Linked DNA regions of Drosophila melanogaster. The protein of the gene in region 2 purifies or fractionates together with the protein of the main gene of each other region. This does not show direct contact. Each region holds a gene or a part of one and is shown on either strand. Other genes may lie near its edges.

Evidence for each region.
Region 1: the proteins of Pur-alpha (region 2) and qkr54B purify together in Drosophila melanogaster (affinity purification with mass spectrometry, with the first as the bait; one large-scale study listed by BioGRID). This does not show direct contact.

The regions. Positions count from the first base shown.
Region 1 is NT_033778.4:17,467,582-17,475,372, reverse strand, and holds qkr54B (quaking related 54B), read right to left. Parts: upstream 5,750-7,791; 5' UTR 5,656-5,749; intron 5,628-5,655; exon of another isoform or gene 5,169-5,627; intron 4,807-5,168; exon of another isoform or gene 4,797-4,806; 5' UTR 4,764-4,796; coding exon 4,487-4,763; intron 4,432-4,486; coding exon 4,307-4,431; intron 4,202-4,306; coding exon 3,750-4,201; intron 3,680-3,749; coding exon 3,578-3,679; intron 3,519-3,577; coding exon 3,298-3,518; intron 3,238-3,297; coding exon 3,128-3,237; coding exon of another isoform or gene 2,939-3,127; intron 2,881-2,938; coding exon of another isoform or gene 2,564-2,880; intron 2,287-2,563; coding exon of another isoform or gene 2,226-2,286; 3' UTR 725-2,225; downstream 1-724. Other genes in the region: Tes (testin), read left to right, coding at 6,306-6,600, 6,671-7,314, 7,380-7,791.
Region 2 is NC_004353.4:556,443-561,269, reverse strand, and holds the start of Pur-alpha (Purine-rich binding protein-alpha), read right to left. Parts: upstream 3,255-4,827; 5' UTR 3,102-3,254; intron 3,048-3,101; exon of another isoform or gene 2,970-3,047; intron 1,607-2,969; exon of another isoform or gene 1,377-1,606; intron 1,176-1,376; 5' UTR 1,013-1,175; coding exon 970-1,012; intron 922-969; coding exon 859-921; intron 800-858; coding exon 687-799; intron 553-686; coding exon 450-552; intron 1-449.

The DNA.
Region 1 (7,791 bases), on a different chromosome or scaffold from region 2:
TAAAACGAGAGAGAGAAACCAAGGGTTGCGAACTTTCCGGGGGTGGAAATTATGCAACACAGGGATCTGGGTATTCCTAAGCTATTTACTCTAGTCAATTATTGTAAAGCAATATAAAACACATAAGCAACAACGAAATAAATTATGTATATTGAAAGTAAAACATAAAGGAAGAGGTTTTAATTAAGATTGGGGGGTTCCATCCTAGCTGGGAATAAAAAAACACTCTACTACATCGATTTTCGATACATTTTAAATATATTTATTTATTCATTTAGTTATTACTTGTGTTATTTAATTTTACATATAATAATTAATGAGAATAACTCAATCGCCATATATTATTTCTTTGAATTCATTTTGTAGGTATGTATATCATATAAGTGTATATATTCTTATTGTTGTTAGGGCGGGGTGTTTTTGTTGTTCGGTTATTTCATTAACTTGGTATCATAAATTATCTGGGGGCTTGGGGAATCGCCCTAAAGTAGCATTTGTTATAATTTCATATTAGTTATCTGTATAATTTGTAACAACGATAATTATTTGTAATAAATGGTTGTAATTCCTTTGTATTATCTGTATTACTGATATTTCATTAAAACTAGATTTTAATTGTTTTTAACAATTTAACGTTTCACATGGTTGTATGTAAGTAAATGTTTCTTAAGGTTTTTGGACAAGATATCGTTTTATTCATCTTCTTATTCGAATTCGAGTATATGTTTATTTCATTGCGTTAGCAATGCCAACTTTATTCGCTCGATACTCAAATTAGGTTACATAAATATTAAAAATGATAATATCTATAAATTGGCATTTCAATTGGTAATTTCAGACCGGGAAGGGATCCGTCCATTGCCATCCACTCCCTCCGAATCCCTTCCTACAAACATTTGGCACACTCTCTTGGTTCTACTTAAGCTCTACAGAGAATTCTCATTAATCTAAAAACTAACTAAAGTGAGAAAACAGGAAACGAAATTTTGAGTTTTGGCAACGGATCAAATTGTCGATTACGAGTTATGTTTAGTTTTGTTACTTTTGTTAGTTCAGTGTATAATTAATGGAGACAACTGGACAAAGCAGACGACTCATTTTTGAACAATTGAGGAAACGAAATTTTGGGTTAATTACTTTGCTTTATCCAGCGTCATGGGTTAAATGTGTTAAGTACATTGAATTACATTGTTATTACGTTAATTTTGTATTGAGTTACATTGTTGGTTTAGTTAGAACTTTATATTCGTGTATAAGTAAATGGAGTATTTGTTATTCATACGCTTACGCTTGCGTTTAAGTATTCTTTTTTACTCTGTTATTGTTTTCGTATCTGGTGTTTTAATAAAGTAATCATTTGCAGCACTATCCACTTATGGACATTGTTTCACAATAAACTTGTATATATTTTGTAATTTGTTAGTTATTTGTAGTTCTTTAGTATTCGATATATTAATTCTGAATGCTCGAGTATTAGATAATTTTTGTTAGGGTTATTCTGTTACCTTTCGTGTCAACATGGGGTTAGTCGATCTCTGTTAATTATGTAAATATTAGAATTTGTAAGTGTATATATATATATTCTTTATCTGTATCGTTAGTTTTGTTAAATATATGCATATATAAATAAAATTATGGTTTAAGTGTGCCCTCTGTATTTATTATTATATTCTATTAAGTTAATTAATCTCATAGATTCTGTCTCTACCGACCGTCAGTCGGGTCCTTCTTTCCCTATACATAGCTTTGTCTTGCTGTATCAACTGGATTCGCTCTGTATCATCTGTACGCCAGACTATCCCAGCTCAACTTTGAGCTGAGCCGTGTGCTTAACTACTGATCACTCCCGACCGAATACAGCTCCCACTAATCATTCAGGCTCTTTAGTATCTTTAAGATGGTTTGTAAATAGAGATAAAAAACTGGACACAGTTTCGTCTGTGTTTTATAGCCAACGCGAAAGTATGGTTTTCGATTTGTTGATCCAGCCTCATCATCATTAAACGTTAATCCTTGCACGCAAAAATATATGTATAAATATATTTGTTATGTATATGTTTTGTATGTGGTATATATCGTAAAGTTCATTTTGTCCATTTTGTAAATACTCCTCCTACGCCTTCCTCTAATCTTATGAACTCAAGTGTACAAAGTTTCTGTGATGTTCATGTTGATGTGATTTTTCGATTTGCTTGTTCTGCTTGTAGTTCTTGTATCTGTTGGGTTCAGAAAAACTGCACGGGCAAGAACGGAAATGTGCCAATATGTAGCGAAGGATTAGCAGGTCTGTAAGAGAATGTTAATTTGGATTTAGAGAGATGTTCTTGTCTTTGATTTGCGGTGTATAATCGAAAGGGTTTTTTTTGCGTTTTCGGATCAATGCAAATCAATACGGGAACTTTGACGGATAAGCGGAGAGGTATATGTATGTTAGAAGCAAGCAAGCGGATTCACATAAAGCCCGTGTATTCATTTGCATTGTCCAAAGACATCGATTTAGTGTGGGTTGTGTGCAAGGACGAAGGAGTTCTCTTCTGCGTTCGATAATATCGCATTTCAATACCTTACTAAGAGCATATTGGGCACTGAAGCGGTTGTGGTGGTGTTGTTGCTGTGGTTTTTACTGCCTAATGTGTGATTGTTGATATTGTTGCTGTTGGCACTCTTTTGGCCATCCATTGGACCAAGTCGATAGGAGGATATAAATGAAACGTCGTTGGAGTTTTTCTCACCGACTGGGTGAAAGTTGCTATTGCAATTATTGTGGCTACTGGTGTTAATCATATTGCTGGCCCGGCTGCCATTGCTGCTGTTGTTGTTGTGGCCTGATAGCTGCGGTGGGAGATTTGGTTGCGACTGTTGGAGTTGTTGCTGATTTACCTAAAAGATAGTTGGGATTATTTTTATGGATCAGTCTGTTTATCAGTTGGGTACTCACCTTGGAACTGCCGTTGGAATTGTAGTAGTAGTTGGGATTTATGTTCTTGCCATTTTGGCACTCACTTGCTCCGTGATTTGGCAAAAAGTTGTTGCTGCTATTGGGTTGGGATTTCATGGTCAAATTTTGGGTGGTTGCCGCCGGGTTTGTACCTCGACCTCCGCTGGCACTACTAGGGTCCAGCAAATTTCACCTGTTAACATGGCTGCGATTGTGATTGGAACTGAGACCAGAGCCGCCGATGGCATTTGATTGAGAAGCGCCGCCAGTGCCCAGACCTACACCTCCGCCGCCGCCAGCTGAAGAGATGACTCGAAAAGTAACATACTGTCTGTAGAGGTAACCACTCCGTAACTCACCAGAATAGCCGGGTGAATGCTGATAGTATTCTCGTCTTCCATAATCCGGCTCGTAGTCGGAGCTTTCGTAGTGCCCACCCCGACCACCGCCACCGCTGATGCCGCCCACTCCGCCCAGAATGTTAGCTGGCGGTCCATGGGGTCCATGTCCATGAGTGCCATAGGAGTAGCTATCGTACGACTGGTGGGGATCATAACCAAGTCCGTCGTCATAGCCCCGACTGCAAAATGTGTTTGTTAAGTATGAATCCTTGATAATATCTATATCTAAGTAACATACCCATAGGTTTCGTCCATGGCCGTCCTGGCTTTTTCCAATATGGACATCACTTTCTGCTTCGGAGCCAGAACATTTTTACTAAAAGATGACGGCTGTGAGCTCCTAAAAAGGGTTAACGAAAGATACAAGTTAGGTACGTTTTTGACGCTAAATCTAGAAAAATATAATTCACCTATAGCTGTGATGCGGCGTGTTCTTGACCCCTCCAATCGGGTTGATTGAGCCGCCACCCAAGACATTGTTGCCTCCCTGCATGTGAGACGTCTTCTTATAGCCACTCTTGGCATTATCGTTGTCATTGAGGCTAGTGCTGTCCATCAGCTCGCGCAGCTGCTCCTGTCGGATAATGTCGTTACTGTCTGGGATCAAATACTTTCTCAGCTCGGCCATGGCGTAGGCGATTCGGGCGTAGGCTTCTGCGGGCGGCGCTATTGTCGATATCTCAACATGCAGATCGCTGTTGAGGTGAGCGTACTTGGGATCCTTGGAGCTGCGCAATTCCTCTTCTTTGACTCGATCGCGCATAGAGTTGCGGCCCAGGACGGTCATCTTGCAAAGGGTCTCCTCCTGAAGGCGGCGAAGGGAGTTGCCCTTGGGCCCCAGCAGTTTTCCAACGAAGTTGAACTGAATAATAAAAGATTAGCGGTCATGAAATGCGCCAGTCATAAAAATTGTACTCAATTTGAATTGGTTACAATTACTAGGTAAGCTAATCAGTGTGAAATTCACCTTGGGATGTTCTCTAATGGGAACTAAAACACGTTGCGAGATCCGCAGCGGCTTCTCTCTATAGATATCGGCATACTTTTGCTCTCTGGAAGGAATCCTTCCTGTGGTCTGGACCTTTTCTATCTCTAAAACAAGACAAGAGTAATAAGATAATGCTTAGAAATGATTAGAATTACTTACCGCCTTCCAGCAGTTTCTCGGCAATGGGAAACTTCCTGTCCATTCGATTTCTTTCCGCCATACAATCGCGTATGTACTCATTGGCTTTCTCGTTTATTTGGACATTGCCGCCGGGATCTCCTCCATGATGGCCGTGATCGTGGGCGGAAGCGTCGCCATTGTGGGCGCCACCTGGTGCTCCAATAGATCCACCAGGCTTGCGAGGCTTGCCGCCAAAATCGTTGTCATCGTCGTTGAAAGCGGAAAAGTCACCGTTGCCGTCGTACTTCTCGGTCATGATTGTTTCGACCGTTTCCCTAGGAGCTGCGGTCTATAGGAAACTAATGATATAATGTCTTACATCTAAATACATACATCTTCTAAACACATATTATAAAATTTTCAATTTGTAATAAGATTATTCTTTAAGGACATAAAGCTTTTTTGGATACTGTAAGAAAAAGGATTGCTATTTCTTGAAACTATACGTATTTTGGAGATACCCGATCAATCAAGGATTTCAATAGTATTCTATCTGTATTACGAGATTACTAAAGTCCTTAGGTTTTTTAAGAAAACACTCTTTTTAATTTTTGTAAACTATCCTAGTTTCAGTGGATGAGTTTTCAAGGAATTTCAATATGCAATTATATTATTATTAGCGAAAATGTAATTATTTATCGTAATCAATTAGGCGGCGAACCACTAACAACGCTTTTACCAACACACTCCCGCGCCACACACACACACGTACAGTCCCACGCACACACACACACACATACACACAGTCACAGGCATTGGGCAAAAACAACCACCGTGCAAAATTGAGCGAATGGGAAAATCAAATTGTTGCCGTAGTTCCGCACACAAGAGCTTTGGTTTAGCAGAACCGGTAAAAAGGATATTATCCTTTAAGATTCAGTATTAACAAAAATAGCGCCTGATTTTAGACAGTTTTCCCCTGCAACTGCTGGGTGTCCAACTGGTGCCCTCCGCACGCGTCCCGCGACCCATGCTGCACTTTCACTTTTCAGTGGGACGCAGTTTTTCACCTATTTTTTTTTCTGTATTTGCAAATTGCATCGAGCGCTTTCTGTTGCTTCTGATGCTTTTCTGCAACTGGACTTTCCAGTGCTTGCTCAACAAACAAACCCTTTTCAAGTTTGCCGTTAGTTTAAAAAGTTAATTACCGCTGTTAAATGGCCCTTTCGATTATTGCTCTTAATTTAAAAGGTTGCGAAAAAACTGCAATTGAATTCGCGAAAAAAACAATTGTGGAAGTGTGACCGCGGATCGAAAGCTCAAAAAAGCCCAATTCGCAAAAATGCCATTGTCTTCGGCGGTTAGTACAGTAAGCACTGAATAATCAGAAATTATTTGGGATATGAAAGGGTAGTAGTTTTAATTTATGTTTATTTTCTTTATTGCTTACATTATATTAATTATTACAGAATTATTTATTTACCGTATAAAAAATGAAATTTACAAAAATTTAACTTCAATGATTGCAATAAAATTAAAACTAGTGAATGCAAAACAGCAGTATCATTATTATTACAAAGAGAATGAAGTGTAATATTTTCTTGTATATGAATTTCTTTATTAACTAAAAATTTATTTGAAAGCAAAAACCCAATAAGAACAATGCCAATAAGAATTTAGCTGATAAGAGACCCACCTATCGATGAGTGCAGCATATCGATATCACCTCGATATACTTCGGTCTATTTCAGTATATTTGCCTAAGCCACCGCTCCTAGGAGAGCCAAACCAGCGAACACAAAGGATCTATAAAAGTGGGATCTATATTAGATGTATTAGCATTGAGCCAATCCCCGAAATGTCCGCCGTGAGCCCCAACTCTTGTGTGGAGACGCCCAAGGCGCCGGAATGGCTATCGAAGCTGGAGAGTCGTCGGGAGCAACTGAAACGCTCCAAGCTGGGTCACGAAGCCGGAGCTGGAGCCCCCTGTGCCGAGTGCAAGGACAAATGTCCGGGGCTGGACTTGCACTTCTGGCGCAAGGTTTGCCGCAACTGCAAGTGCCCCAAGATTCAGCATGTGTGTCCGGACGACGATGATGCCACTGGCTGGGCGCAGTTCGAGATTCTGGGCCAGATTAGGGCCAAACCGGCGTGTAAGTAATTGCGAAACATATTTATAACATATAAAGGTTAGAAATGAAAACATAACACATACTGTTGCAGATATCAAAATCAAAGCTCTGGCCAGTCAGCCCGTTCAGCTGGAGTGGGTGCCGCCAAATGCTGCTCCGGATGTGGTCACAGATTATATGGAGAAACTGGGCACCGCCCAAATACCTGTGGCTGGAAGCGATGCCGCGCTCAAGCGGAAAATGCAACTCGAGTTGCAAGTGCCGCCACACGACCTGGATGCCGCACTGTGCGATGGATTGACGGAAACGGAGGCCATCCAGCTGCAGCAATACGTTCAGAAATTGCGAGAGCAATGCGTCGGACAGGGCGTTGTTGTGCGCCTTGGAGATCGTCTTAATCACGCCCAAGTGGAGCACGTAGCTCCTGCCTTGATGCCAACCCAGGAGGCGCAACAGACCTGGCAATCATTGGGCCTCATGCCCGTTGCGGATGACACTTTGAACGAACTGCTTGCCAATCCCAAGGTGGCCCAGGCTTTGGCAAGTCCTGCGAGTGCCCATCCCAAACTACTGGTTGCGTTTTCAGAGCCTCTATGCGAATCAACAGCCCAATTCGAGGAAAACGGAGCTTTGCGAGCCCAAACTAGAGAAAAGCTGTTGGGGATTAGCAAACCGGCTCTGCTTAGCCTTGTGACTCATGGTATTGTCTATGACAAGGTTCTGGGAATATTACAGGTAATTAAATTAGCAAAATCGTTAGCAAGACCAATACAAATCTGTAACATATTTGTTTACTGCAGGAAAAGAAGCTTAACATCTCGAGGGATCCAAAGCTTGGTCCCATTGCTGAATTTCGCAAGGAGTATGTGAACAATCCGCAATTCAGAGCCGAGATCAACACCATCTGTCCTCAGCCGCCCATGACACCTATAAAATCACCTCCTGGTACACCATTCAATTCTCCATTGCCGTTGAAAAACCCAGTGCAGATCAGAATGGGAGCACAGATGCGCCAGGATACGCCTATGCGAAGGGTCAAGTTTGGTGGGGTCTCCACCATAGTTTATGACTGCGGACTGCCTGCCAATACGGACTATGATCGTGATCCTGTCTTTGCGCAAATTCTTCAGGCGGAACCGCTTAAACATGCATTCCAGGAAGCGCGTGCTGGACGTGCTCCCTCCTCGGTGGTTATCTCCAACATCCCAGCTC
Region 2 (4,827 bases):
AAAGGTTTTTTAAAGGGTGGGCAAACGATAAAAACTAATAATAATGGTTGGGCAAACGTTTTTTGTTGATTATATTTGGTTTTAAGAGATGGGCAAACGATTTACTCTCTGATTAGACCGAGGTAAACTTTAAAGCCTTATATTTTCTAAAGTATACATTTTTTCAAAATTCTAAAGGGTGGGCAAACGATGTTGTTGCAATTAAAAAAAAAAATTGAAAAAAGCGAAATGTTTGATTTTCGAACATTTTCGAACTTTTTCGAAAATTCTTATCTCAAAAACTGGACGTGGGCAAAAAAAACTAATTGGGCAAAAAATGGGCAAACGATTCCAGCTTTCAAATTTCAAAAATTATATTTTTTCCGAACCCAGCTTCTTTGAGCTGTAAAGTTTTCGTATTTAAAATAATATTGATAAAAATAAACATTTTACAATGGGACTGTATATACCTAGAGAAGCGTAGTAATCGCTAAATGAGGATAAATGGTCACGAAATTCGGCTGCAGTTGAAAGAGCCAAGTAAATTTGACTTCGTCTACCATCAGCGCCAATCTGAAATTTTTAAAGCTGTTATACATAACGTTCCATGGTTGTGAATTTTATCAAAAGGTGCTGTTATACAAATCAAACAAAAGCTTTTCTTTATAAAATAGAAGTGATAACAAAATTCTAATCAGATGATTTACCTCAGCAACCTTTATAAAACGGCCTCTTCTATTTTGTTTTACATCCAAATAAAATCGTTTAGATTGTATTTGCAACATTTTCGTAGCCAATTCCTGTTCGACGCCGCTTCCTCCTGACGCGAAAGAATGTGACGTGTTCAGATAGTATAAATTATACATGTGGCATTTTTACCTTTAGCAGAAGAATCGAAGTCGTTCCTACTTGAGGAACCCTCCATATTTGCAACATTATATTCTAAAATATGGAAGTTGTTATATATTTATTAATATGCGGCTCACTTACTTGATCCTGAGATGCCATCATCTCCACTTCCCAAATCGGACATTACGAGACCACCTATTTATAAAATCTCGAAGCTTGGTAGATAGTTACGCTTCCTTCCTTTTCAGCGACACACTTTTAATGTTACACTACTCTTGTGCCTCAACACGACAGCATATAGTTAATAGTATAACCATTCTTTTTGTCCGGTGTACAACATTCCCCTGCTTTAAATATAATATAGATAATTATGATTAATATCGTAGAGTAGCAGCACAGCAGCTGTGTTTGTTTTTTTTTCTGTAAATTCGTTTTTGTTTACTAACTTCCTTTAATACCTAAATCATATGAGTAAATTTCGTAGGATCTAATTTTGGCTACATAGAATAAAAATATACCGACCTAACAATCTTACCTATAGTACCTACCATATTGTATGTTAATATACATACATATATCCTGCCAAAACATATCACAGTGGACGAAAGTCCTCGTAGTGACGTTGCGCAGCAAGATAGTGTCCAAAGGCGACAACTATATATGTATGTACATGATGAAATGCATATGCAGATGCAAAAACTTAAGGGCTTGCATCCAAGACCATTACATGTGTATATCGTTCGGAAGAGAAGCGGTGAAAGTGAAAATACTATACTATTTTAAAATTGTAAGCCGCGTTCCCAAAACGATCACAGCATAATATATTTTTTTTAATATTCTACGTGCTTTCTCGGAACACTTGCATGAAAGGCCAGCGAAATATATTGATAAATGGTGTCGAGTATACTTCAGATATTATAGTTTCCTAGTTGAATATAAAATAATTTTTCGTTATAAAAGTACAAATCAGAATTTTTGTATATTCGTTTTTGTTCAATCGTCAGAAGTTAATACCTCGTTAGTTGTTTTTGTTTAATCATGCTGTGACGCCAAGATCTATCTAAAGAGTTACAAATATACATGTAAATATGTATGTATATATTCTTGTTCAGGATGGCATGAATTAATTTTTACTTTTTACATTAAAATTTATTAAAATTCATAAAGCTTGTAAAATGTTCAATGACCTTTAGCATTAAAATGTATATTGATGTAATTTTTCTTTACTTATTTTGAAAAGATTTTATTCACTTTTAGTTTGAAATTTCTTTTTACCAAACGGTATTAATTTAAACAATAAGAAGAATCCGTATAGACATATGTACATAAGTAAAGTCATAGGACGTAACGTACATATAAATGTAAATGCATATATAAATATATATATTATGTACATATTTATATATATATGTACACACATATATGCACATACATACACTTTGAACATGTCTACTTTTTTCCAAACTGCTTATAACGTTCTTGTACATACATAAATAAATAATTTTTCCAAGGCATTATATTTATCTGGCAATAAATTATGTGTAATTCCCTGTCAATTGAGTGAACTACCAGTCCAGGAATTCATAAATTTGTATAAACAAACTAATATCCCGTTAAGTACAGGAATTAGATGTTTACATTGCATGAGTACGTGTTTGACATGTATCAGCTGTTCACCATCGCATTCGTTGAATTGATTCGACTACCCAAGAAAACAGTTTCAAGGTTTTTGCATGTGTACATATGTATGTATGTATGTATGCCACTACGGGTAAAACCATTTTACACACACAATTTGAACTTAGCAAGCTGATTTTTGTATACATATTCATCTAATACGAGCGAATACGGGAACTCAAACTTGAATTCAACATTGTCATAAAACAGTTTATGTAATAAATTGGGAAAATGTGCACCAAATACGAAAGGTGGGAACTTTTTAAATGGAGCTTCCAAAAGTACACATATTAGCAATGCACACTTAAAAATATATGTAAGTGCTCATGAAAGGAGTGCTAGAGCCAACTGCAAATAAATGGAGGAGCTTTATACTGTTTCCTACTGCAACACTGGGTATTTTTACTCTAGCACTTAAGTTCTTAAACTTAAGTCCAGGAAGAAAAAAATTATAAAAAACGTACAACATCTACACACACACGCACTGCCCCTTACAAATGACATCGACACTCCCTTATTTTATTTGTTCGTCGGATAAAACTGAAAATTCGTAGGTTCAGAACGGAGGGGAATGGAGCCCAAAAGAGCTGAAATACCTTAACGCCTTTGTAGGAAGACTGATGCAAATCCGAGTTTTGGAGTGTTTTTGAGTCACAGCGAAAGCTTGAGCATGTTGTACAGTCAATGTTTATGTGTAGATTGAGTAAAATGGCCTAGTTTGATTTGATTTGACTAGCCATCCAAAAGGAACGCTCGATCTATGTACGTGTAGAATCCGGCAGAACGCGTTAGGGAATTTCTCGGAGCTCCGTTGCGAGCACGTAACGAAAGACAACGTAACCCATCCAACGCGTCGTCTGACCGAAAAAGCTCCGATAAACTGCAAATAAGTCAGCAAAGCTCCTTTTTCCTAGTCTTTCTATTTGCGGCGTTATTGGTGTTGGTTGCTGTTTGTGGTTCGTCGTGCATGAGCAGCAGAAAGTGGAAAATTATAATAAATCTCATCCAGAATTCTGTTTTGATTCCGATACATCGCGAATTTAAATTAACGACTAAACGTGCAACGGTGCTGTGAGGCAAATTAATAAATTCTGCGGCATACTACTGTTCTTCGGGTGTGTGTGTATTCATACACGACATGTGTGCACATACATATGTCTGCATGTACATTCGAAATTGAAATTATGCAAAATGTGCATCATACTGCGAACGCTAGTTAAGGAGCAGTGCTTCAATTGCTACTTCGATGGAAATGTAACTGTTACGTACTGTGTTCGCGATTTCCCCCGTACTTATCCTGTGCCTAAACCGTCGAGCGAAACGTGAGTATATGACCACCTATATACTCACACATTTTCTACATAAATACAAATACACGCAAACTTATTTTTGTTGGTCGTCTCTCAGTTCTCTCCTCGTTTATGGTCATTCTCCGTTCCTCTCGCTGCCATCTGCCACATCCACTTTGGAAAGCGAAAACAGAAACAGCATCTCTGTGAACCCACAGAAATACATATGTAAAGCAGATATGTACATAGATGTGTATATATGGATGTGAAAAAACGAGAAGAGTAGCGACTAGTCTTTTATCTTTTATTTTGGTATCGGGACTGTATTTCGTATCCGTAAATCCGAATCCAAATTGTCGGGACAGCACAGACTAGAGTATAAAGAATAGTATAAGTAAAAATAAATTGATACATACACTTATAGATGTATGTGCGCAAATGTACAATACACCCTGTCAATGCTTTTAATTCGTATTCGTATTTGTGTATATTTTGACTTATTTTAAAATATATCACAATGCCCTTGTAGTCGGAACTCCGCCTTATCGGGCTCAAAAATGACTAATCCCTTCCAAGCTTTAATCATGTGCGTACCTGTAGAATCCTAGATTCTTGAGGATAGTGCTGCTATATTGTTTTCTTTCCTTTCGTGAACAGGGAGTTTCTAAGAAAAAGTTATGTAAAATTAGTCCGAAAAATAAAAATTTTTGGTCTGCCTTGATAGCCCCAGCGATTTTCAAAACTGCTTCCACATGTTATTTTTGAACGCCAATATTCTGTTAACTGAAATATTAGGAGCTAAAAGACAAACACTCCGCAAATAAGAGTGCTTTACTCAATTTTACGTCGCAGAACGTAATATCTAAACGTGAAATTGAAGGTGTTGTCAGTCCGATTTTTTCCTCGCCAAGGGAAATTTCTGTTTAACTTGAGGGATTTAGACAGGGTAAAATCTGGATATACTCGTATATTTACATATGTATAGCCGCTTTCCCGCTGAAGTAGCGTAGTTTTTCATAATGGTTACAACTAA